Linked DNA regions of Astyanax mexicanus. The main gene of each other region encodes a partner of the protein of the gene in region 2 in a complex. Links are inferred from orthologs where the notes say so. Each region holds a gene or a part of one and is shown on either strand. Other genes may lie near its edges.

Evidence for each region. The genes of interacting proteins can lie anywhere in the genome.
Region 1: smarcc1a (region 2) and arid2 share a complex: the UniProt entries of both Homo sapiens proteins name them as parts of the SWI/SNF-B (PBAF) chromatin remodeling complex. The link is inferred for Astyanax mexicanus from reciprocal best matches to the Homo sapiens genes SMARCC1 and ARID2.
Region 3: smarcc1a (region 2) and actl6b share a complex: the UniProt entries of both Homo sapiens proteins name them as parts of the BAF complex. The link is inferred for Astyanax mexicanus from reciprocal best matches to the Homo sapiens genes SMARCC1 and ACTL6B.

The regions. Positions count from the first base shown.
Region 1 is NC_064409.1:38,200,817-38,208,681, reverse strand, and holds the start of arid2 (AT-rich interactive domain-containing protein 2), read right to left. Parts: upstream 3,006-7,865; 5' UTR 1,997-3,005; coding exon 1,905-1,996; intron 1,779-1,904; coding exon 1,685-1,778; intron 889-1,684; coding exon 791-888; intron 1-790. UniProt on the Homo sapiens protein: Involved in transcriptional activation and repression of select genes by chromatin remodeling (alteration of DNA-nucleosome topology). Required for the stability of the SWI/SNF chromatin remodeling complex SWI/SNF-B (PBAF).
Region 2 is NC_064408.1:129,661,266-129,668,363, forward strand, and holds the start of smarcc1a (SWI/SNF complex subunit SMARCC1), read right to left. Parts: upstream 3,023-7,098; 5' UTR 3,008-3,022; coding exon 2,807-3,007; intron 1,110-2,806; coding exon 990-1,109; intron 1-989. UniProt on the Homo sapiens protein: Involved in transcriptional activation and repression of select genes by chromatin remodeling (alteration of DNA-nucleosome topology).
Region 3 is NC_064420.1:26,446,987-26,454,346, reverse strand, and holds the start of actl6b (actin-like protein 6B), read right to left. Parts: upstream 3,006-7,360; 5' UTR 2,527-3,005; coding exon 2,502-2,526; intron 1,451-2,501; coding exon 1,374-1,450; intron 1,205-1,373; coding exon 1,039-1,204; intron 1-1,038. UniProt on the Homo sapiens protein: Involved in transcriptional activation and repression of select genes by chromatin remodeling (alteration of DNA-nucleosome topology).

The DNA.
Region 1 (7,865 bases), on a different chromosome or scaffold from region 2:
ATTCTGCACGTGCAAAAATGCAGAATACCGGTATAGGTACAAAAATAACAGAGCTAAATACTTTTTCACCTTTTGTTTTTGAAACGGTGCAAGTATAACATCTCCCCTCTGAACCACTAAAAGCACATCACAGTAATAACACTTGCATTACTATATCTATTTAAAAGGTCAGGGGGAAAAATGCCTCACCTACTACTCACATTACAACATATACTAAAAAGATGGAGAAATGAATTACAATTAATTGGCCACATGTAAGACACAGCACCCACATTACTGCATACAGACACTTTAAATAAGAAAAAAGGAGGAAACAGTAGTTTTAATTTTTTTTACTCACTTAAGGACTTTTGTAGTCTAATTTCTCAGCAGTAAAAAACATACTTTTTTTATTAAACACTGCAGTGCTTGTGTACTTAAAAACCTGGATGTTTGAAATGACCAAAAACATCAGGGAGATGTTCTGATGTGTGAGAATTGGACTGTTGGTGTTGCTCTTATACTGTAAACAAAGCCACAACAGACCATATGCTAAAGTTTCAGGCTCCTAAAACTCCCACCGGCTGTAGGAGACCAAAGAGCACACGGAGAGAGTGAGACAAAGGCCTGAGCTGAGCCTCGTGAACACAACACAAAAACTTTCCTGGAGCCGAAAAGATAAAAGTTGTAATGAGTGAGTTTTATCCGAGGTGTGAAGCTGAGAGCGCCGGTGGCCCGCTGAGCGGCTGGAGTGTGTGTGAGTGAGTGAGTGTGTGTACACATGGCTGAGGAGGGAAACACGCTGACTTACCGAAGGTAGTACTGTTTTAAAACAAAAGCAGCGTTGGAGCAACTCCTCGGGAAATTAAACTCTTCGCCAAGTTCAGACCACTGGTTTTTGTCAGAGACCTACAAAAGAGGGAGATAAACAAAACAAACACGCGTCCATGAGTCTGTGGACATCCACAGGATATAAAAGCTCGTGATAAAGTCGGCATTTCTTCGATTTGACAAGCACATGCGAGCTGATGAGCCGACCGTGCTCGCCTGCCTGCCGCCCGGTCACCAGCTACAGCAGTTTGAATCAGGCAGCCTGCTAACCACCGTTAGCAGTCCGGCTAACCGCACTTTTTAAACAACAAAAAATCCCGAGCCGCGACAGCGAGGCTCCCCCAGCCCGAACCCGTCCCCGCGGTGGAGAGCCGCGGCGGCGGAGGGCATTTGGGCTCGTGTGATGTTGTATTTACAGTGCTGAATAAAACAGGCCTGTCTGTGAGGCCTACGGTTTAGCTGAGCCACGAAGCCAAACACAGGCTATGGCGAGTTACTAGCTTCCTCCAAGCGAGCGCGGTGGAAAAGCGCGGCCGAAAGCCGAGCCCGCGGTGCTGCCCGCCGGTAATCGATGTTTAGCCTCCGCCGCTGGTTTGGAGTCGCTCAAACTGCACTCGCACTCCCCGGCGGAGCAGCGGAGCCGCTAACATCCCGGACTTTCAATTCATACCCGCTCTCTCTCTCCCCCTCTCCCTCGCTCTCGCTCACACACAGGCTTCACCACACAAGGCCATTTTATAGCCCCAAACTCGGGCTGGAAATCGGTTAAATACGCCAGAACCTCCAGGCCGAGCCGGCGGCCACAGGAGCCGGCAAGAAGCCCCGCCGAGAGCTCCGGAGAGAGGCATTTATGAGCACTTTTGGTCGCACTAACCTTAGCGAATCCACCTAAAGAGACGACTCTCGAGTAGAGAGCGCCCAGGTCCAGCTCCTTTCCACCCACCAGCGGGACCTTCTTAAACGGCGACCTGGAGAAAGAGAAAGAAGCACACGGTTAACCGAGGACGGACTGGACGCTCCGGCCGCTCCGGACGACTTTAAGCAGCTTGAAGTTTAACATTTGGACGAATAAAAGGCATCCCCCCTCCTCTCACCCTCTGCTTTGGTGAAATTGCCGCAGCTCGTCCAGGAAAGCTAGTCCTTTCCTCCGCTGCTCGGGCAGGCTTTTTCCCGTCGAATTTGCCATCGTTTCGGATCCTCAAAAGCGGTCAAAACCCGGACTGCTTCGCTTCCTACGACGCCGGGGATCCCATGCTCCGGCGGCGCTCAGTCATTCGCGAGGCTGAGTGTTTAAAAAGTTAAAGAAACGGCGAAGGGAGAGCAGAGCGCCAGCTCTCAGCTAATGAGGACTGTTGAGAGGAGCCGCACAGAAAACAGACCTGATCCGAGCCCGCTCTAACTTCGGCCAAAACATCGGAATAGCGCTCGGATTCAACGGCACACCAGCGTTGCCATGGCGCGAGATGTAAAAATGAAGACCGTGCTGGCTGCTGGACGTGTTGGTTTTGGAGTGGTTTTGACAGTGTGCTACAGACGCGGCGGCATACACACTCTCTCACACACACACTGTGAAGCGGGATCCAGTTCTCAAACAAAAAGACCCGAGCGAGGCCGCGGGCCCTGGCCGCTCTGCAGCGCCCCCGCGCCGCCCGCACAGGTAGTGCACCGGCCGAGGCGCCTCGGCGGAACAATAGACAGACAGTGTTTTCAGTTTTTTCCTTTTTTTATTTCTTTTTTTAAGGGCTCATCTGAAACTTCCGAGATCCGTTAAAACTGAACAGAGCGGAGAGCGTCTGTGGGGGAGGGGGGAGACACCAAATTCACCAGACGAGTAAAAATACATCAGCCCCCGGCAGGTTACAGCGCTGCTGCCTGACCAAAACAGGTCTTATAGTTTACATACATCTCTGTGGGGAAAAAAAATATTTTCACTGACAGGGACAAAATAAATAATAAATAAAATATATAACTAAATAAAAGTTGATTAGTTTGCTAAATGAGAATGGAAATAATAATAATTGTTGCTGTTATTGTTATTCATTTTTACAAACTTGTAAAAACAATTGCATGAAAACAAAAAAATAAATTATAGAGATTAAACAGTTTTGAATAATTTACAACAATATGTATTGTTATTTAACCCTAACCTGTTTGTCATTAAGAGTCTGACTCAACTGGGTTTAAAATAAAGACCTCATCAACTCGCCTCTGCTCGTCTTACTTTTATGTAATTAATTTAATATTTTGGGCTACAGTTCATCTGGGCAGCCCTACAAAAACATGAGTGCATGTATTTTAAACATACAGGTACAGGTAGAAACACCTGAGTAGTGGGGAGTTTTGGGCTCCGCGCTGTGGTGTTTGTTCTTGAACAGTGTGTGTTCAGTGGTGAGCAGTGAGTGCTGTCTGTTGGTGTAAGTGTAAATTGCCGCTGATCCCTGGTATCTCCTCCTCCTCGCTGCCAGGCGTGTATCTCTCTAACTGACGGCTTTACTACATTCAACCATTACACGCTCCCCTTTGAGCGGAGCGCGCTCTGTCACAAAATGGCGGAGCTCAACACCAAAGACCCCATTTTGTCACACTGACACGGAGGAGGACTGAACTGAAACGGCTTTCGGCAATGGGAAAATCTGTCGTTAAACGGCTTTTTTCTAACGCGAATTGGCTGCGTTACACCGGGGAACATTAGCTAGCACCGGCGAGCCGCGCCGCAGCTCCGCGGAAACAGCAGCTCCACTGGAGACGGCAGCTAATGAACTAACTTCACCTGCCCGCAGCTCTTCAATTCCACCTTAAATATCGCATCGGTTACATTAATATGTTGCTCCTTCAGTAGCTACATGTGTCTAAAGTGTAACTGTTACTTTATTTAAGGTGGAGTGGAAACATTGAATACGATTCTCTACATGATCCGACTACTGCTCGGCTACAGATCCGCTGTAACCTGTCCGCTGCTGTCTCAGCTCTCACACACACTTACACACACATATTGTGTCACACACACCGCCGAAAACCCATCCTCTGACATCCAGCCCGCCGCTGTGTTTAGTTTAAGAGGCGCTGTGGGATAAACCGGTTTAGATATCGGCGTGTTTGGTTTGGTTTTCGGTGTAAAACCGCGTTTAAACCGCCGACCTTCACCCGCGACGGTTAGCTCACTAGCATTTCTTAAGCTAAGCTAGTTGGCGTTAGCCGCTTAGCTTAATATGTCAGTCAGGTCTGTAGCTAATTCAGTTGCTGCGCGGCTCTCTGGGCATTTACTGCTTTGTTATCTCAGTCATTAAGCTTCTGAGGTAAACATACTTCTTATTATTCGAGTGTGCGGCGGGTTATAGCCGTCCTGCGTTTATCTGTGTAGTCTGAAACCCGAGCGGGAGGCTGAACTCAGTGACCCGCCGCCACCATTAGACTGCTGCTGCTGTTAACTGTGAACCAGCGTTAGATTTATAATACATTACAGCAGCCCGAGCACAGCTACTGCACCCCGCCACCACAGATCATTACAGGCTTTCACATTCGGCCAGTGTAACGTTTATTAATTACATTTACTGACCATTTGAGGTAAAATGCAAAAATATTAAATTGGATGTAAAAACTCATTATTTTTTAAAAATGAAGTGCGGTGTACAATAAATAAGTTTTCATCCATTTTTCCAATTGTAGTTTTTTTTTTATCTCTGCCCCTTACTATATATATATATATATATATATATATATATATATATATATATATATATATATATATATATATATATATATATATATATGATTATTTTGCAAGTTCAGATCTGTATTGAAAGATACAAAAATTGACAAATCTGAAAATTGAGAGAAGATTCAGCTTCGAGATTCGACCACATTCACCCTACTGTGCTTTTTTTTATTCAGAAATATACATAAATAACCAATAAACAAACATTCATTAATTTATACTGTGTGTGTTTGTTTTGGCTTTTGTTTCTAGCTAACCCGTTTTTGCCCACCAGCTTCTTTAGTCCATAAATACTACGGACCTCATAAGTCGTTTAAAACGTGTATAATAAAAATACATTTAATAGGTTATAAATGTTCTTTATTTCTGTCTATGCAGATGTTGATGCATAATGTATTGGCTTATTCCATATCTATGTAACTAGTGTAGCTATGATTAGTGTGTTAGTTAAATTTCGATTATTAATTTGGTTTAAAAACCGCATTTCTTCAAATTTGAGTATCAGTATAAATTATTTTTATTGCTCTTCATTGATTAAAGTGTCATTCTGACTTTCAGACAGTGCACAGAGTGACTGTCCTGAATGAATGGACAGAGAAAGACAGTTGAGCAGAGTGCTGATCGTCCTCCGGGGAGTCATTAAGCCGCGGTGAACAGCGCCCTCTATCGCCAACACCACCGCAGTACACACTGACTCCTCTCTACAGCACTACAGCACAACATGACTCGACTGACCTCCAGTTATACACCGGTATTCTCAAGGATCTGCTGGAGGTAAAACAGATCCGGATCCGAGTCGCCTGCTGTCTGGGTACAGTCAAATATCAAAATATAGAAAATAGTGAAACAGAGCAACAACAACAAAAAAAGAGGCGACGACAATTTTAACTGTAATGTTTAAGAAAAAAAGTCATTTCGTAAAAATGGCAAAATCACATGAAAATCCTGAAAGAATCCAATCCCGCATCACAAATATTTTTTATTGTAGTCTCAAGATAATACAAAATGCTTTTATAAGATAACAGGGTTGTTTTTTTTAAGATAATTTGACCTTTCGCGTTAAGGCACAAATAATTAAGTTGTAAGTCTAAGATCTGGTTTCCACATACTAAATTGTGGCCACAACTTAATCATCTCCTCTCCATGTCTTATTAAGTCATGCTCATTGCCCACAAAATAATTATCTGATTCCCATGCCTTACTAAGTCATACCCATGATTTAACTATTTTATATCTTTCTTTCAAAGTCATGCCCACAATTTAATTATCTCGTTCCCATGCCTTACTAATTCTTGCCCATGACTTAATTATTTTGTTCCTATGCCTTACTAAGTCATGCCCACAACTTAGTTATCTATTTTTTGTGTGTTACTAATTCACGCCCATGACTTAATTACTGCAGTCCCATGCCACACTAAGTCATGCCCACAACTTAACTATTTTATATCTATGCCCTACTTAGTCATGCCAATGATTTAACTATTTCATATCTGTGTTTCAAAGTCATGCCCACAAATTAATTATCTCATATCTCTGCCTTACTAAGCCATACCCATGACTTTGTCTTTTTCCCATGCCCACAAAATAATTATCTAATTCCCATGCCTTACTATGTCATGCCCATGATTTAACTATTTCATATCTGTCTTTCAAAGTCATGCCCACACATTAATTATCTCATATCTCTGCCTTACTAAGCCAAGCCCATGACTTCATTATTTTATTTGTTTCTTATTAAGCCATGCCCACAACTTACTTATCTCTTTCCAGTGCTTTACTAAGCCAAGCCCATGACTTCATTATTAGGGTTCAAGCACCGAAGGTGCGTAGAACCCTATTGTTTTTGCTAAGATTTTTCTTCTTCTTCTTCTTCTTCTTCTTCTTCTTCTTATTATTATTCTTTTTCTCCTGAAAAAACAGTTGTGCAGCCTAAACCGTAAGTCATAGAGAAATTAAACTTGGTAGGTAGATCTCGGTGGACAACAAAAATGGCACCGATTGGTCAAGTGGTGGCGCTATAAACAAGGAAATTCATTTTTCACAATTTTCTGAATAACTCAAAAACCATAAGACCTACATTCAAAATTCTTTTTTTGATGGATTCCTTGGGTCAATACCAACAACTTTCCAATTTGGACCATGCACTTCCGTCTATATAGATTTTTTGCTAATTTGCATAATATGCAAAACCTACTTTTGCAAACTAGTCCTAGGAATTTTGACCAATCCTGGCATGTTTGGTATCAAAACACTCGTGAGAGCATGCGCTTCAATATTCATTAAGAAAAAGTTGAAATATGTAAACAATATGGCCGCCATATGCAAATTAGTCCTTCCGGATATATGCCCCATTCACTTCAAGAGGTAAATTTGGAGCACTGTTTCTCAGCAACCGTGCAACCTAGCAAGTTGAAACTTTGCATGCAGAATCTATCATACAGCCTCTAAAGGATGTTCAAAGGGCAACTTAATCAATCAACATGGCTGAACACCATCAGCCAATCAGCATTCAGCAGACATTTTGGCAGGCTGAATGTTGCCCAATCTGGATTATATTTGGCAGTTATGTTCAGGTGGAGACACTGTAGTGACCTGCAAAGTGCTGAAACAATCCGCCCACTGGGGGGCGCTGTTCCAAAAAAACGAGTATATGTCAATCATGCTGTACTATTTTGACATCTAATTGTTTTTGCCATATTTAGTACAGTGGCTCTGACAAATTTCTCAATACAACTATGTTTAAAAAGTGCTTTGTTCATTCATAATTGCTAATTGTTTGAAAATAGCTATATTGAAACTACTCTCTGGATATTTGGCCTATCACCTCCATTTCAGTCTTGCTGCACACTGTAGAGTCTCTAGGTAAATGTTCATTAAAAACATTTGTGAAAATTTCACATACAATACTCTCCAGGCATCAAGCAATCTGTGCGTCCTTGGAATTTCTAACCTAAATTGCTGTAACTCTGCAGTATTTGCTGTAATCTCACAATGTTAAAGACCTCTGTACAATATCACTCTGATGAAGCGCCATTTAATACAGAACTAGATTAAGAATAACTTGACATTACATGTCATATCAGAACATTCACTCCTTTGTGTTAATTTAAACTTGTTTGGTCAAACATTTCAGCTTGTTCTGCAAAGGTTCAAAGGTCAATCTGAATACCACTTTGTGAACATTCTGGTTGAAGCCACCTGATCAATACCAATAACATGTAGACACCTTTTGACTAGTTCTAACTCACTTAATGAATATCCTACAAAGTTCACTAGATTTACATGTGAATTTAAGCACTGATCAGGTTGAAAGGCCTCTGCTCAACATTAATAACAGGTG
Region 2 (7,098 bases):
CTTACAGAATTAACTGAAACAAGTTTTGTAGACCAAATTTCCATGACTTTTTCAAAGGTTTCTGGGTATTTTAATTTCTCCAAAACTAATTCAGGTCTGGAAAACCTTCAAAGTTTTTCCATGGCCGTACGAACCCTGCTATTAACAGGACGTTTGCGCTGAAATCACCATGAAAAAAAATTGACAATGTGCATTGTGGAAAAACACAATTTCATCTTCTGTTTAAGAAATGTTATGCAGCTGCAATGTTTGAACACCTGAGGTCACAATCCATCTAGTGCAGGCCAAGGAACCAGTGGGCGTAAGCAAAGAGCGGAGGACAGGTCAGTCATTTCTGACTGAAGAAAAAATTAATTTAAATCCTGATTATAGTTGCCAACATGTTATATACACCTTCATTTTTAGCTTTCAACCAACTGTACACAAACATTAAAGTGAAAGGTTTCTCAAGAAAATAGTTTATGAATTTTCACATTTATCGAAATTTAACCCTCTATTAAATTAGAATAGATCTATTGTGTGTGTGTGTGAGTGTGTATATACACATTATATATATATATATATATATAAGCTTAAACCACTGGATTTTAAAAGTAGCACAGCCAGTGTAGATATTTTATAGACAAATTGTAGAGCAGTGCTCATGCAGGCTTCAGTACTGACTTCTGAATGAAATAATTTAGTGTAATGCATTTAAATGTTTTAAGGTATTGCATTTTAGACATTTTAAGACTTTAAGACATTTGCGGGAACCCTGTAGTAACGCAGCCAGCAACACTGTTTTTTTTTTTTCAAGCATACGATAAACAAGTCTGCAAAACTCTGTGTAAACCATCTAGAATACCCAGTATAGTTCAGATTTTTGTGCAACCCTAATAACAATAAAGCATCACTTCAGCTAACTCTGCAGACCTGAGTTTATCGTGCCACACAAGGAAAGAAATGTACGATAAACAGCGTGGAATTAGCGTCTGCAGAAAAGCACTTACGGGCAGTTTGGTGAGGGCCGGGTTGCTCACTCTTCGTCCAAAAGCGTCCTCCTGGAACTGGAGCAGCTGCACCACCAGCCCTGCCAGAGTCTTACAGGATGGAGAGTCGGCCTGGACATGCTGCAGAAAATACGAATACAAAACCATACGTTCAGAACCGGCAGCCATAAAGTTTTAATAAGCTATGTGTATATTACTTTACATTATATTGCATTTTGCAGACGCCTTTGTCCAAAGCGACTTACAATAGTGAAGTACAGTAAAAGAAAAGTTATAGAAGTTAAAGGTAAAACATCTTTAGACAGGGTCTAAAGGAGGTTAAAGGGGAATAATGGGATAGAGGAGTAAAGGAGGGGAAGAAGGAAATGAGGTTAGAAGTAGTTAGCTTGTTTGCTATGTTCAGACAATGTGTTCACTAAACCAGATATTATTAATGTAATGGAATGGAATACCAAATGTCTGACTTATTATTATACCTGCATAAGTATCTCAATACCAATACTGAAAAGGTTTAAAAAAAAAATACATCAAAAACTGAATATTAGGAGATCGAACATGGAACTCAAAAGTTAGTTTTTTTTTTAACAAACAAAATGAATAAATGTTTAAAATTCAGATATATAGTGAGCCATAGGTCAGTGTTTTACATAGAAAATCAGGGGGCATTCCAGTTAAAATTTCCTACTTGGCACTCAGTAATTCTAATATTAGAGTTCAAGTGGAGGTTACAAACCATTGTTTAAATTAGGGTTTTTAAATATGGCTTCCACAAACAAAAAACTAAAAGCCATTAATTAATGTGTTTAAGAGGTAAAGGATAGTTTTACTTTACTACTGCAAGCGTGATACAGAGGCCATATTCACGAATACTTTACTACTTTAATACTTACATGACATAGTAATGTAGTAGTGGATATTTTTAAAGTAAACAACAAAACACTTCTGTAAGTCGCTGAGGATATGGTCTGCTAAATACTTAAAAAAAAGTAAATGTAGGGATTTTTTCACCAACATTTATGCACCTCACATTCTAAATTTCACATTTTCTGATTTTTTTCTTGCATTATTTTCTATACTAACTGTCGTCTAATATCTAAACTATTGTTTTAACCCGGATTAACCTTCATTAATTAGTTACCAGCACGGCTAAATTACTTTAACTCGTCTAACAGAACTAAAAAACAAACAATCAGACCGGTTATATTGTGATAAATATTATTATTATATATTTAAACCCCAGAAACAGAGAAACAAACTTCACCCACACAATGAATCAAACCGTCTACCATCATAAACACCCCTAAAACCAGCAGATATTTAATTCACACTGGATATAAAACAGCCCAGGCAGCGTTATATCAGCTTATTTCATATTATTTCAGGATTTAAAGTGGATTAAACTTGAATAAATTATAATAAACCAGGTTAGATAGAGTAACAGCCGTTAGCTTAGCCGCCACTACACACCAAAACACTGTTAGCTTAGCTTAGCTTTAGCGTACTTTAGCTCGTTTTTAAGCAGATTTACGCTTTAAAACACATAAAAAAACAAACTATTACCGACCATAAACTAATAGATAAAAGAGTTGTGCGCGGTTTAAACTGATTAAATGCTGATTAAACGCGAATAACGCTGTAAAACTGTGTGTTTCAGCGGGTTAGTGTGTGATTTAGCTCCTCGCGAGCTCTATTGTGTTATTGTGTGTGAGCGCGCGCCACGGGCCGCATTAGCGTTAGCTACGTTAGCATTAGCTACACTAGCATTAGCTCCAGCACGGGTTTTACACAGACCGTTAGCATTAGCATTAGCCGCTAACCTTCTTGTAGTGCTTGCTGATCCACTGCCGCACAGCCTCCAGCTGCGCCACGGTCTCCCCGCTCTCCCAGAACTTCCCCGCCGGTCCGCCGTCCTTCTTCCTGCCTACCGCGGCACCCGCGGCTCCCGCCGCCCCGCCGGTTCCAGTCCCGGCCCCGCCGGACCCCGCTCCCCCCGCTGTTCCCGCACCGGTCGCCGCCATCCTCGCGCCGCTCCACTCGCTGCAATCCGCGCCTCGCCGCGCGCTGCGCTGCTTTACCGCCGAGCGCGAGAGGCCCCGCGAGCTCACACGCGGCAGCGCCCCCACAGGCGGAGCAGAGAAACTGCAGCAGGACGCTAAAAAAAATAATTCGATTAATCACAACAAAATTCTGTGATTAACTGCGATTAATCGCATTTGGGTTTTTTTTTTCAGACGCGAATTTTTATAGTGGATATTTAAATTAATGCAAGATAATTAATGATACTTAATAAATAATTAATGCAAGAGATGTAAAATGCAATTATATGTATATAAGTGGTGTCAATTAAAATTATAGTATATACTTGTATGTTTGAGTGGGGGACAGCCAACTTGGTGCCTTAATTAACTTGGTAAATTAATTTAAATTGGTATAGTGATTCCAAATTAACAGCGCACAATAACACTTTAATACATTACATTACTACTGAGCCCCTAACATGACATCATGTAAAAAAGAGATGATTAAGGTGTGGGAACGAGATACTTATGCGTGGGAATGAGATACTAATGCGTGGAAACAGGATAATTAAGATGTGGGAATGATATCATTAAGACACGACCACAACTTATTAACGTGTGGGAACAAGATCCCAAGGAATGGGAACAAGATAATTAAGGTGTGGAAATAAGATCATTAAGGCGTGGGAATGAATTAATTAAAACAGTGCTATTAAGGTGTGAACAAAAGGTCCTTTTGTTTCACAGCTAACAAAGCGAGCAGCTCTACTGTATGCGTCTAAGCCAATCAGCTTTTAGTATGCAAATTAAGTGTCTTTTACTTTATTCCAAAATATCAACATAATTTCTTAATTTCCTTATTTTTCTTTATTTAGAATAAAAATAAACCAGTTCACTCTCCATTTTCTTACTAAAGATTATATTTGGATTAAATATGTAATATACAGTTTCTTCATGAGCATTAATTTACAGAAAAGCAAGCTTTATTATTCTCAGCTAGATTAAATGAACTCGTTCCCATGCCTTAATGATCTCATCCCCACTCCTTAATTATCCAGTTCCCACGCCTTAGGATCTCGTTCCCACGCCTTAATAAGGCATGGTCATGCTTTTATTTTTACATGATGTCCCTTTATGGGCTCCAGACATAATATTGCATTACATTAAATTGCATTACATACACTCACAATATTTAAATCACTCGATCAGTAATTACGCCCCCTGGTAACATCTAATCATCTGTGTCTGATCGCTATCAGAGGCACACTGCTCAGCCCAATCAGCTCTTGGAAAAATATGAGCAATAAATAATGAAGCAATGCAACATGTGTGTCAGAGAGATTTTTCTCCACAATACAGCTAAAAAAATTTTTTGCATCACTTTTAAAATGTGGCAATGTTTTCTAAAATACTCATAAGAGCTTAAAGGCTAAAGCTACCGGACCTAAGCGCTACTTTATAAGAACTAATACGCTAAAGCTAGCAAAGCTAGGCACTGGGGCTTGCTGAGACCAGCTTCCTGTTAGCTAACAGGGTTAATAGCTTGAGATAGCGAAGATCTGCAGAAACTCCACCTATAACACATTCATTAGTAACTTGAGGTGTTTAGGAGAACAGGTTAGCTGTTCACACGAACATCGCTCTGTCAGTGACTATTATAATCATTAATAAAAAAACTACTAATGCTATTATATTAATAAAACACTATTGTTTTAGTTTCAGTGATTTTACCTCTTTAAATAACAGAAAATTAAAGTAATATAAAATTCATTTATAGAAAAGTTATTGCATATTATATATGTCATTAATGAAGAATGAAAATAGTGTGAACTTTTCTATCAAACAAGTTTTTTCAATAAAAAATATATAGTTGTTATTACAATAATGATCATATAATTTTTCCATTATCCTGAAAGAAGGTGTGTTTAGATCTTCTTGCTGGGAGAAATGAGCATTGCATCCATTTAGTGTCATTAAGATGTTCTGCATATTATACAAATAACATCTGGCATGTTTGTGCTCTTCCAATACTGATATAAAATATTATTTGCTACCAAAACAGATCCACCGAGTACTGCGGTAAAGTTAGTTTTATGTCTGACATTCGTGAGAGATTCGGAATTCTGGACAAGTCTTTTATTTAGCAGGTAATTTCAAACTAACAAGTCAGGCCACTAATCAAAAGTTTTCTGTTTAACAATGACAAAAAGACACAAATTTTATACATGTAAAAATGGGTCATATGTTCTCCAGAAAGCATCTAAGACCTTAATAATGACTGTAATACATTTTGTTTTAATGATCACTGCTTTAACATTAAGCACCAACCTTATACAATTTCATCTTCATCTTCTTTTTGCAGTATCACAGAGCGCACTGTGCGCATTATTAGGGTAATTACGGTAATTTCACAGTGTGTTTATCTGCCGCTGCAGGTTATTCTCTAATATCAGTGGTGATAATAGAACCAGTGACACCATTTGTCATATTTTAACCTTACTTATCTTAAAATCATCAATATCTTCCAAATGTTAAACACTGGAAGGTGCAGTAATCTGATTAATCCACATTTTTGTAATGTTCTGTGAGTGTTACAGGTGTGTAAAATAAAATTGTGCTCCACTTCAGTCCTCCTGTGCTCAGTAGAAGTGATAACTCTCATAAACCTTTACTGTAGGCTGTGTCCTACATCCTTATTTTGTTGGAAATCGTGTTACATAACACAACTTTCTCAGAATTGAACAGCAGAACATGGTAACCCTTTACTAATAACTGAAGAGTTGCTGTGTTCTTCTTAAGAAGTTAATGCAGATTATATCACAGTATTATAAACTGAGAAACATGGTAACTAATTACTAATAGTTGAGGATTATTTAACCTAGCTAACTAACCGACATCTAAACTAGCTAACGTAGCTAGCTTACTAACACAAAAAAAAACAACTAACACACATACAAACTAGCTACACAACTTAGCTAGCTAACTAACACACCTCACCTAGCTAACTAACACACATTTAACCTAGCTAACTAACACACATTTAACCTAGCTAACTAACACACATTTAACCTAGCTAGCTAACACACATTTAACCAAGCTAACTAACACACATTTAACCTAGCTACTAACACACATTTAACCTAGCTAACTAACACACCTCACCTAGCTAACTAACACACATTTAACCTAGCTAACTAACACACATTTAACCTAGCTAGCTAACACACATTTAACCAAGCTAACTAACAAACATTTAACCTAGCTAACTAACATACATTTAACCTAGCTAACTAACACACATTTAACCTAGCTAACTAACACACATTTAACCAAGCTAACTAACACACATTTAACCAAGCTAACTAACACACATTTAACCAAGCTAACTAACACACATTTAACCAAGCTAACTAACACACATTTAACCCAGCTAACTAACACACATTTAACCAAGCTAACTAACACACATTTAACCCAGCTAACTAACACACATTTAACCTAGCTAACTAACACACATTTAACCTAGCTAACTAACACACATTTAACCAAGCTAACTAACACACATTTAACCAAGCTAACTAACACACATTTAACCAAGCTAACTAACACACATTTAACCCAGCTAACTAACACACATTTAACCTAGCTAACTAACACACATTTAACCTAGCTAACTAACACACATTTAACCTAGCTAACTAACACACATTTAACCCAGCTAACTAACACACATTTAACCAAGCTAACTAACACACATTTAACCCAGCTAACTAACACACATTTAACCCAGCTAACTAACACACATTTAACCCAGCTAACTAGCACACATTTAACCAAGCTAACTAACACACATTTAACCAAGCTAACTAACACACATTTAACCTAGCTAACTAACACACATTTAACCAAGCTAACTAACACACATTTAACCAAGCTAACTAACACACATTTAACCTAGCTAACTAACACACATTTAACCAAGCTAACTAACACACATTTAACCAAGCTAACTAACACACATTTAACCAAGCTAACTAACACACATTTAACCCAGCTAACTAACACACATTTAACCTAGCTAACTAACACAC
Region 3 (7,360 bases), on a different chromosome or scaffold from region 2:
CTCCTCCATCTGTAATGAGACACTGATGCAGCTTTAGTACAAGTTTATATAGCTATATATATATATATATATATATATATATATATATATATATATATATATATATATATATATCAAAGCTTAGAATCAGACTACATTTATTATTGGATGAGAGTTTTTTTTGTATGAGCGGTTAATATACAATCCAATCTATAATACACGATAACATCCAATATACAGTACCAGTCAAAAGTGGACACACCTTAATTTTAGGTTATTTTCAGTATTTTAACATTTCTGCATTGTAGATTAATACTAAAGTCATCCAAATTATAAAGAAAACATATGTATGGGGAGTTGTCCCAAAAGAATCCTCTTTTTATTCCATGATGCACTTTTGTAGTGGTTAGTGTAGTGAATAGGGGTTAAATATGGTCTGCAGTGTTTGCTATTCTGTGTTGTTAGTGGTGTTTGTTAGCTCTGCTCTGCTGTGATACTCACTGTACTGGGCCGAGTGAGGTACTCTCAAGAGGGGTATCAAGTTAGTGGTGTTAAAATGTTTAATCTGCTTCCTCCACAAGATTCACTGGTTTTACATATTATACAAACATTTTCGCTTAAGTCAGATACAGTAAAAGCAAAGTGGAGCCAGCATAACACTGCCTATAATGAGCATCTGCAGCCATGTACAGGCTCTAGAATTTTGCAGAGCTACTGTTATCCTTAACTGAGGATATGATCTAAAAGGGTATCAAGTGGAATATGGCTATTTTAAATATCTGCCAATATCAATACATAGCCGATCAATTGTCCGTCTCTAGTTCAAAAGTCTCAAAACTGTTCTGCACTGCAGAGTTAGCATGGCTAGCTGATTAGCACATTGAGGTGGCTAGCTCCTCATTCTCCCTGCTCCACTCGCACTGCAGGCAGGCAGATATATAAGGTATGAGTGACACACTGAGAGGTGAGACAGGTGACCAAGATGACCAAGTAATAAAACAGTGAGAAACTAATCAAACAGAATGGTAGAATTTGATTGTGTGTGTGTGTGTCTCATACTCATGCCGTTCTTCAGTGGTGATATCAGCTCCACTCCAGGTCGGGGTACATGAAGGGCTGTGGTGTCCATGTAGAAAGTCCGCCCGCTGTTGTTATCTTGCTCCGCCCCCATCTCTGCAGGCCCCTCCTCCTCTACATGCACTCCTAAAGAGGTGGGGAAGTCTGCCTGCAGGAGATGTGATATAAACAAGGTGTATCTAAAGGTGTGAGGCTTTACATCAGAATATTTTCTGCTTATTCATACACTGAAGGTGGATAAATGTAGGTATGGATTAGTGGATGTTATTAAAACGATAGATGGATGGATAAATATATGGATGGATGGGTAAGGGTACCTTAGGGCAGTCTTCACCAGCATAACCTGCTCTAGTGGAGAAGGAGCCGATATCAAACACCAATGCCCCCACCTCATCTAAGAGAGAGAAAGAAAGATAGTGTGAATGAGAGAGAGAGAGAGAAGTACAGTAAGAGAGAGACAGAGAGAGATGACAGATCTACAGTAATGATATAACTAAAGTGATGATGGATTAACAGAGATGTAGCCACAGTAAGAATGGGGTTACAGTAATGATGATACAGTAATGACAGAAAGGGATGAGGCTTTAACAGGCTTTTATACAGTGATGGTGGAGTTACAGTGATGACAGAATAACAGTGATGGCAGAGCTACAGTGATAACAGAGCAACAGTGATAACAGAGCAGCAGTGATGAGAGAATAACAGTAATGACAGAGCTACAATAATGATGGAGCTACAGTGATGCCAGAGTTACAGTAATGGTGGCAGAAGTAGAGTGATGATAGCTACAGTGATGACAGGGCTACAGTAATGATGTAGCTACAGTATTGCCAGAGTTACAGTAATGTTGGCAGAGCTAGAGTGATGACAGAGCTACAGTAATGATGGAGCTACAGTATTGCCAGAGATACAGTAATAATGGCAGAGCTACAGTGATGCCAGAGTTACAGTAATGATGGCAAAGCTAAAGTGATGACAGGGCTACAGTAATGATGGAGCTACAGTTATGACAGTTACAGTGATAACAAAGCTAAAGTGATGATGGAGTTACAGTGGTAAAATCAATAATAGAAGCAAACGATGGAGCTACAGTAATGATGGAGTAAAAGTGATGGACAGCACTACAGTAATTATGGAGCTACAGTGATGATGGAGATACAGTAATGATGGAGCTACAGTGATGATGGAGTTACAGTGATGACAGAGCTACAGTAATGATCGAGTTACAATGACAGAGCTACAGTGATGACAGAGTTACCGTGATGACAGTTACAGAGATTACAGAGCTACAGTAATGATTGAGCTACAGTGATGACAGAACTACAGTGATGACAGAGTTACAGTGATGACAGAGCTACAGTGATGACAGAGCTACAGTAATGATTGAGCTACAGTGATGACAGAGCTACAGTGATGATGGAGTTACAGTGATGTTTCTCTCTTACCTCCACCGTAGACTCCACCACTCATGTCTATCGCTCAGTCCCTCCAGTTTCACTCCTCAGGCGAGTCGTGTGCAGAAATTTGTTGTTTATTAGTCCTGAAGTCCTGACTGACACGACAGGCTAAATAATGCTCGTGCACGTGCCTCTGCTCTTCCTTCGAGAGCTGCAGCTCGGCAACAGCTCGCCAGTGTGCGCGTGCGTGCACCCGCCGGCTGAGAGAGAAAGAGAGAGAGAGAGAAAGAGAGAGAGAGGGCTCTAAGGTGGGATCATCTTTTCTGCAGCAGAATGTAAGTGTGTGGACAGGAGTGTGTGTAGGTGTTTGCGTGTGAGAGGATTTGGAGGTGGTACAGTAAGCTATATAATTCACTAAGAACCACACTCAGAACCCCCATCTGGTCCTGTTTCATACTGAGGAACTTGCAAAATCAACAATGAAAGAGAAAAGGATGAAAGAAGTGAGGGATGAGGAGGTATGCAGAAGGTGAGAGTGACATGGCGGTCCTTAAGCTGTTCTGAGTTTAGAAACGGTCAAACTGCACCCCCTGTTGGTGGCTGCAGTACTGCACACACGCGCGCGCGCTGCAGCTGATAGGCTAACTGATAGATGTTTTCTATAAAACATGAATGGTTTACTTTAGTATAGAACATATGCTCTAATCCTAAGACATGCTGATAGAGGCACTTGTAATGTTGTGTATATTTTAATTATTATTCTGTTAAAAAAATTGTCTGAAAATAAATGGTTCCAATACTGTATAAAACAAAAAATACATTGAATTAATACAGTAATCTAAATAAATATTTAAATAGAAGATAATGAATATGCATGCACTTTGATATCTAATAAACACGTGTATATTTATAAATAATAGCATTTGTTTTTATCCATGTATTTTATTTGGACTATTCGTGTTCAAATGATGGACACTGACACAAACACAATGAATAAATAATAAATACATTATAATTTACAAGACCACATATAAATAATGTATTTTTTACAATCCTAAAAAGATTCTTATAAATATTTTGTAAGTAGTACATGTACAACTGAGTCGTTGTAAGTCTTTTAATATCTAACCACCTTCAGACAGCCTGTACCTGTTTTACTTAATCGTATTTATTCTTTTATTTTTATTTTAGTCCTCTCTTAGTTATTTATTTCCTTTTTATTTCTTTCATTATTTCTTTTTGTATTTTTTGTTTTGTATTATTACATTTTAACTTATTAAAAGTTTATGATTATTATTGTTATTATTGTTTTTTATTTATAAATGTTTATTTTTTATTGTACTATGTAAAAGTTAGTTTTAACTTAATATTAACAGTTTTTTTGTATTACTCTTATCTTCTTAATTTCTTAGCAATTAAACCAAGTTTTATTATTAATATGATTTTTTAAAATCTATTTTTATCTTTTATTTACTGTTATTTTTAAATTATTAAATGTAGTTATTATTTTCTTTATCATGTCAATCCCTGTATTTGTAAATGCTCAGCTACATAAAAAAGAGGGTTGCCCTAGATGTACTTCCGAGTCAAAATAAAGGTTGATTGATTGATCGGTTTATTGACTAATACATATTGATCTAATTAATATAACTTACTGTTAAAAACGTGAGTGAGGACTTTTATTTGTGAGGTCTGTATTTACCCAGGCCTGTTATTTATGTGTTGCTCCTTTTTAAGCTCCTCCCTGGTGTCCGGTTCCAGCAGGACCACCTTCCCCACCTCCCCTCCGCTCGGTCTTTGAGGGGGGATTCCGTATCCGAGAGACTGTACCGTCCCCCCCTCCGCAGCGCTGCAGTGGTTCAGTCCGGCCGCGCTGCGCTGAGAGCGGGCCGCACAACGGCGCAGCTGCGCGGGGGAGCACGGGGGGGAAAAGTTTTAGTTCTTACTGGACAGGACCGGAGAGAGTTCGGCCATGGGGGAAATCTAACCGGACACACACTCTCTCACACTCACATACACACACACACACACACACACACTCACACACACACCACCCGCTTGGACAGCAGCGCAGCCCCCCGTCCCGGCGAAGGTGAGTGTCTCCCGGTTCGCTCCGAGGGTCCGGTGGAGGGCGGCCCGCGAGGGCTAGCGTTAGCACGTTAGCGCTGGAGGTAGAGAGGGGCTATGGGAGGGGTCGGGGGTACTGTAGTTAACACACACAAATTAGAACAGGGTCAGTGTTTTAAAGAGTGGGTGAGATTGACAGTGAGCATCTGTATCTGACCATTTCTGTCTTAATGGAAATGTTCGGTCCACCTTAAATGGAGAGTGTAACTGCTGCAATAAGGTGGAACGAACTATTTCAAAAATACAGCTTAACAGCTTAGTTATTTCTTACTGACAAAATGTTTGTTCGTGCGTGTGTCCTGTGACAGCTGGAGCGGTGTCTCTACACACTAATCACCATCCCTCTCTCCCTTTTTCTCTCTCTCTCTCTTATCTCTTTTTCTCCCTCTTTCTCTGGGTGTGGGGTGGATTAAAACATGGGTATAACTATCCATCAAATGATTTTATATATGTGAAAAGGGAGAGTGAAGATAGAGGGAAGCAAAGGGAAGAGAATGTTAGAAAGGACTTCATCTAGAGAGAAAAAGAGAGGGAGAAAGAGAGGGGAGGAAGAGAGAAAGTGAGAGAACTAGGAGAGTTTGGTCTGAAATATTTTAGTAGTGATGTAAGGCTACAGTCCTGCTCACCTCAACTCAGCTCTTACACACACATCTAGAACAGTGTGTGTTTATTGTGGCTGAGTTCCTTTTCTGATCTAATAATGAGCTAATTTTAAATCCACACACTCTGTGTGTGTGTGTGTGTGTGTGTGTGTGTGTGTGTGTCTGTGTGTGATGGCTTCTCACCAAGTCTAAATCACCTGTTGAGAAACATCTGCTCTCACACACAACTCTGATTTACACTGCTTTGATCATTTCAGTCTTACCCACACACACAAACTTTTACACTGCTTTGATCTTGTCAGTCTTGCACACACACGCATATGCTATTGAGGGAGTGTTTTTCCTCTGTGAGTGAGTTCCATGGTGCTTCCTTTTCCAGCGGAAGTGATGTGAGAAATCCAGTCACAAGTGGTCACAGGACGTGCATATCAAATGCCAGATGGACTGGCAGTACATTTTGGCAATCAATTATGATTGGGTCTCCCAGGATGTATGTTTGTGCAAGGTGTGAACATTGCAACTGACTAAAGAATGTAAAAGTAAACATTAGAGATTACCTCAGTTTGAGACACAGCCCCTGAAGCTAATCTAAACTAACACAGGATCCTGGATCCTGTCAACTGTGTTCTGATTGGCTGTACATGTGAATGTCCACGTGAATATTTTCAATACTGATTCTCTTGCTTGGTTCATTGATAGAAAATGGAAAAACCTACAGTATGTTTAAGGGTGTTTGTTTACACAGCAGCACTTTTTAAACGGGTTAACGCCGACTCTGGTTTATTTGCACCCCTAGAGCAGTTTATTTTGGCTGGTGTGAAAAGGAGGTAATCTCATCTCAGCTCCAAACGAACCCCCGAAACGCATTGTTTGAGGTGTAAACGTGGCCTGACCTCGATCTGACCCAACCATCAAATAAATTGAATTGAATTTGACCTGATTTGTTATCTAGATAATTACTACTGCTGTTGACGAATGCTATCTTTGACACTGCTCTAAAATATGTGCTAGTCTGGAACACCGCACTATTTTCATGCATTTACTTTCTAGGTCTGCCCCAGAAATGTTTGACCAATAATCAGAGAGAAAGTTCTCTCATGGTTTGTTGTGATGCATTTTGTTCTATTTGCAGTTTTTTATGTGTGAACCCAAAACAAACCAAAGACGGTGACATTCCAAGTTAATAAACTTGTTAACTGCTTCGGACCAAAGAAAGAAACAGATGTTTTGACTTAAAGTAGTGTTAGGTGCTTTAAAGGCTCCCTCATGGACAAGCTGTACACAAGCATTTGTTGACAAGCTGAAAGACACAAAAGCAGCGGTGGACTAAGAAGGTAGAGTAACCTTACAGGAAGTTACACATAGGGCTTGTTTAACATGTGTATATATATATATGCGTATTTAGAATTTTTATGAGAAATAGGAAATAACAGGATAAGTGTGGGTGTTATTGTTCTTTTATACTGGAAAATAAAAACGTATTTCTTCTGGTCAAACCGGGGAGGTATTGTAATACAAGTGTAAACAGAATTCGGTCAAGCATATAGATACCATCCAGAGACAATGGCAGGTGTAAACAGGCCCATATATGAATTGGGTTACACACTGATACAGTACTGGAGAGCAGTGTCATACAGCTTCAAAGTTCTGTAGTGCAGTATCAGAATTTTGGAGTGGAAATGACAAAGTTGCCATTCTTGCTGTTGCAGTCAGTTTACCATCAGTATGATTCAGAAACTGCTGTTTTAAGACAAACTGTATGGACTAAACTGTCTATATATGGACCACCTGCTCATTCATTGTTTCTTATGAAATTAAATGTATTAAAAAAAGAGTAGTTTTTATTGGAATATCTCTCTATAACTTCTCTACTGTCCAAGGAAGGCTTTATACTTGCTCAGACCTGGCATGAGGCATGATGCCAGAAGGTTGATCTTTATCTACTCTAGAATAGGGGTGCATGATATGGACAAAAATGTGATGTGCAATAAGAAGTTGGATTTCCATTACTGTGGGCCTCTATCTCACATCCCCTCTGGTGTAAAGTCAAATTCAGTCGCTCTGTGCTTCTGGTATAAAGGTGGGACCTTTACAAAGGAAGTGAAAAAACTGGACACTCTTAACACAGCTCAGGAAAAATTAAGAGACCGCTCTAGTTTCTGAATCAGTTTATCTGAT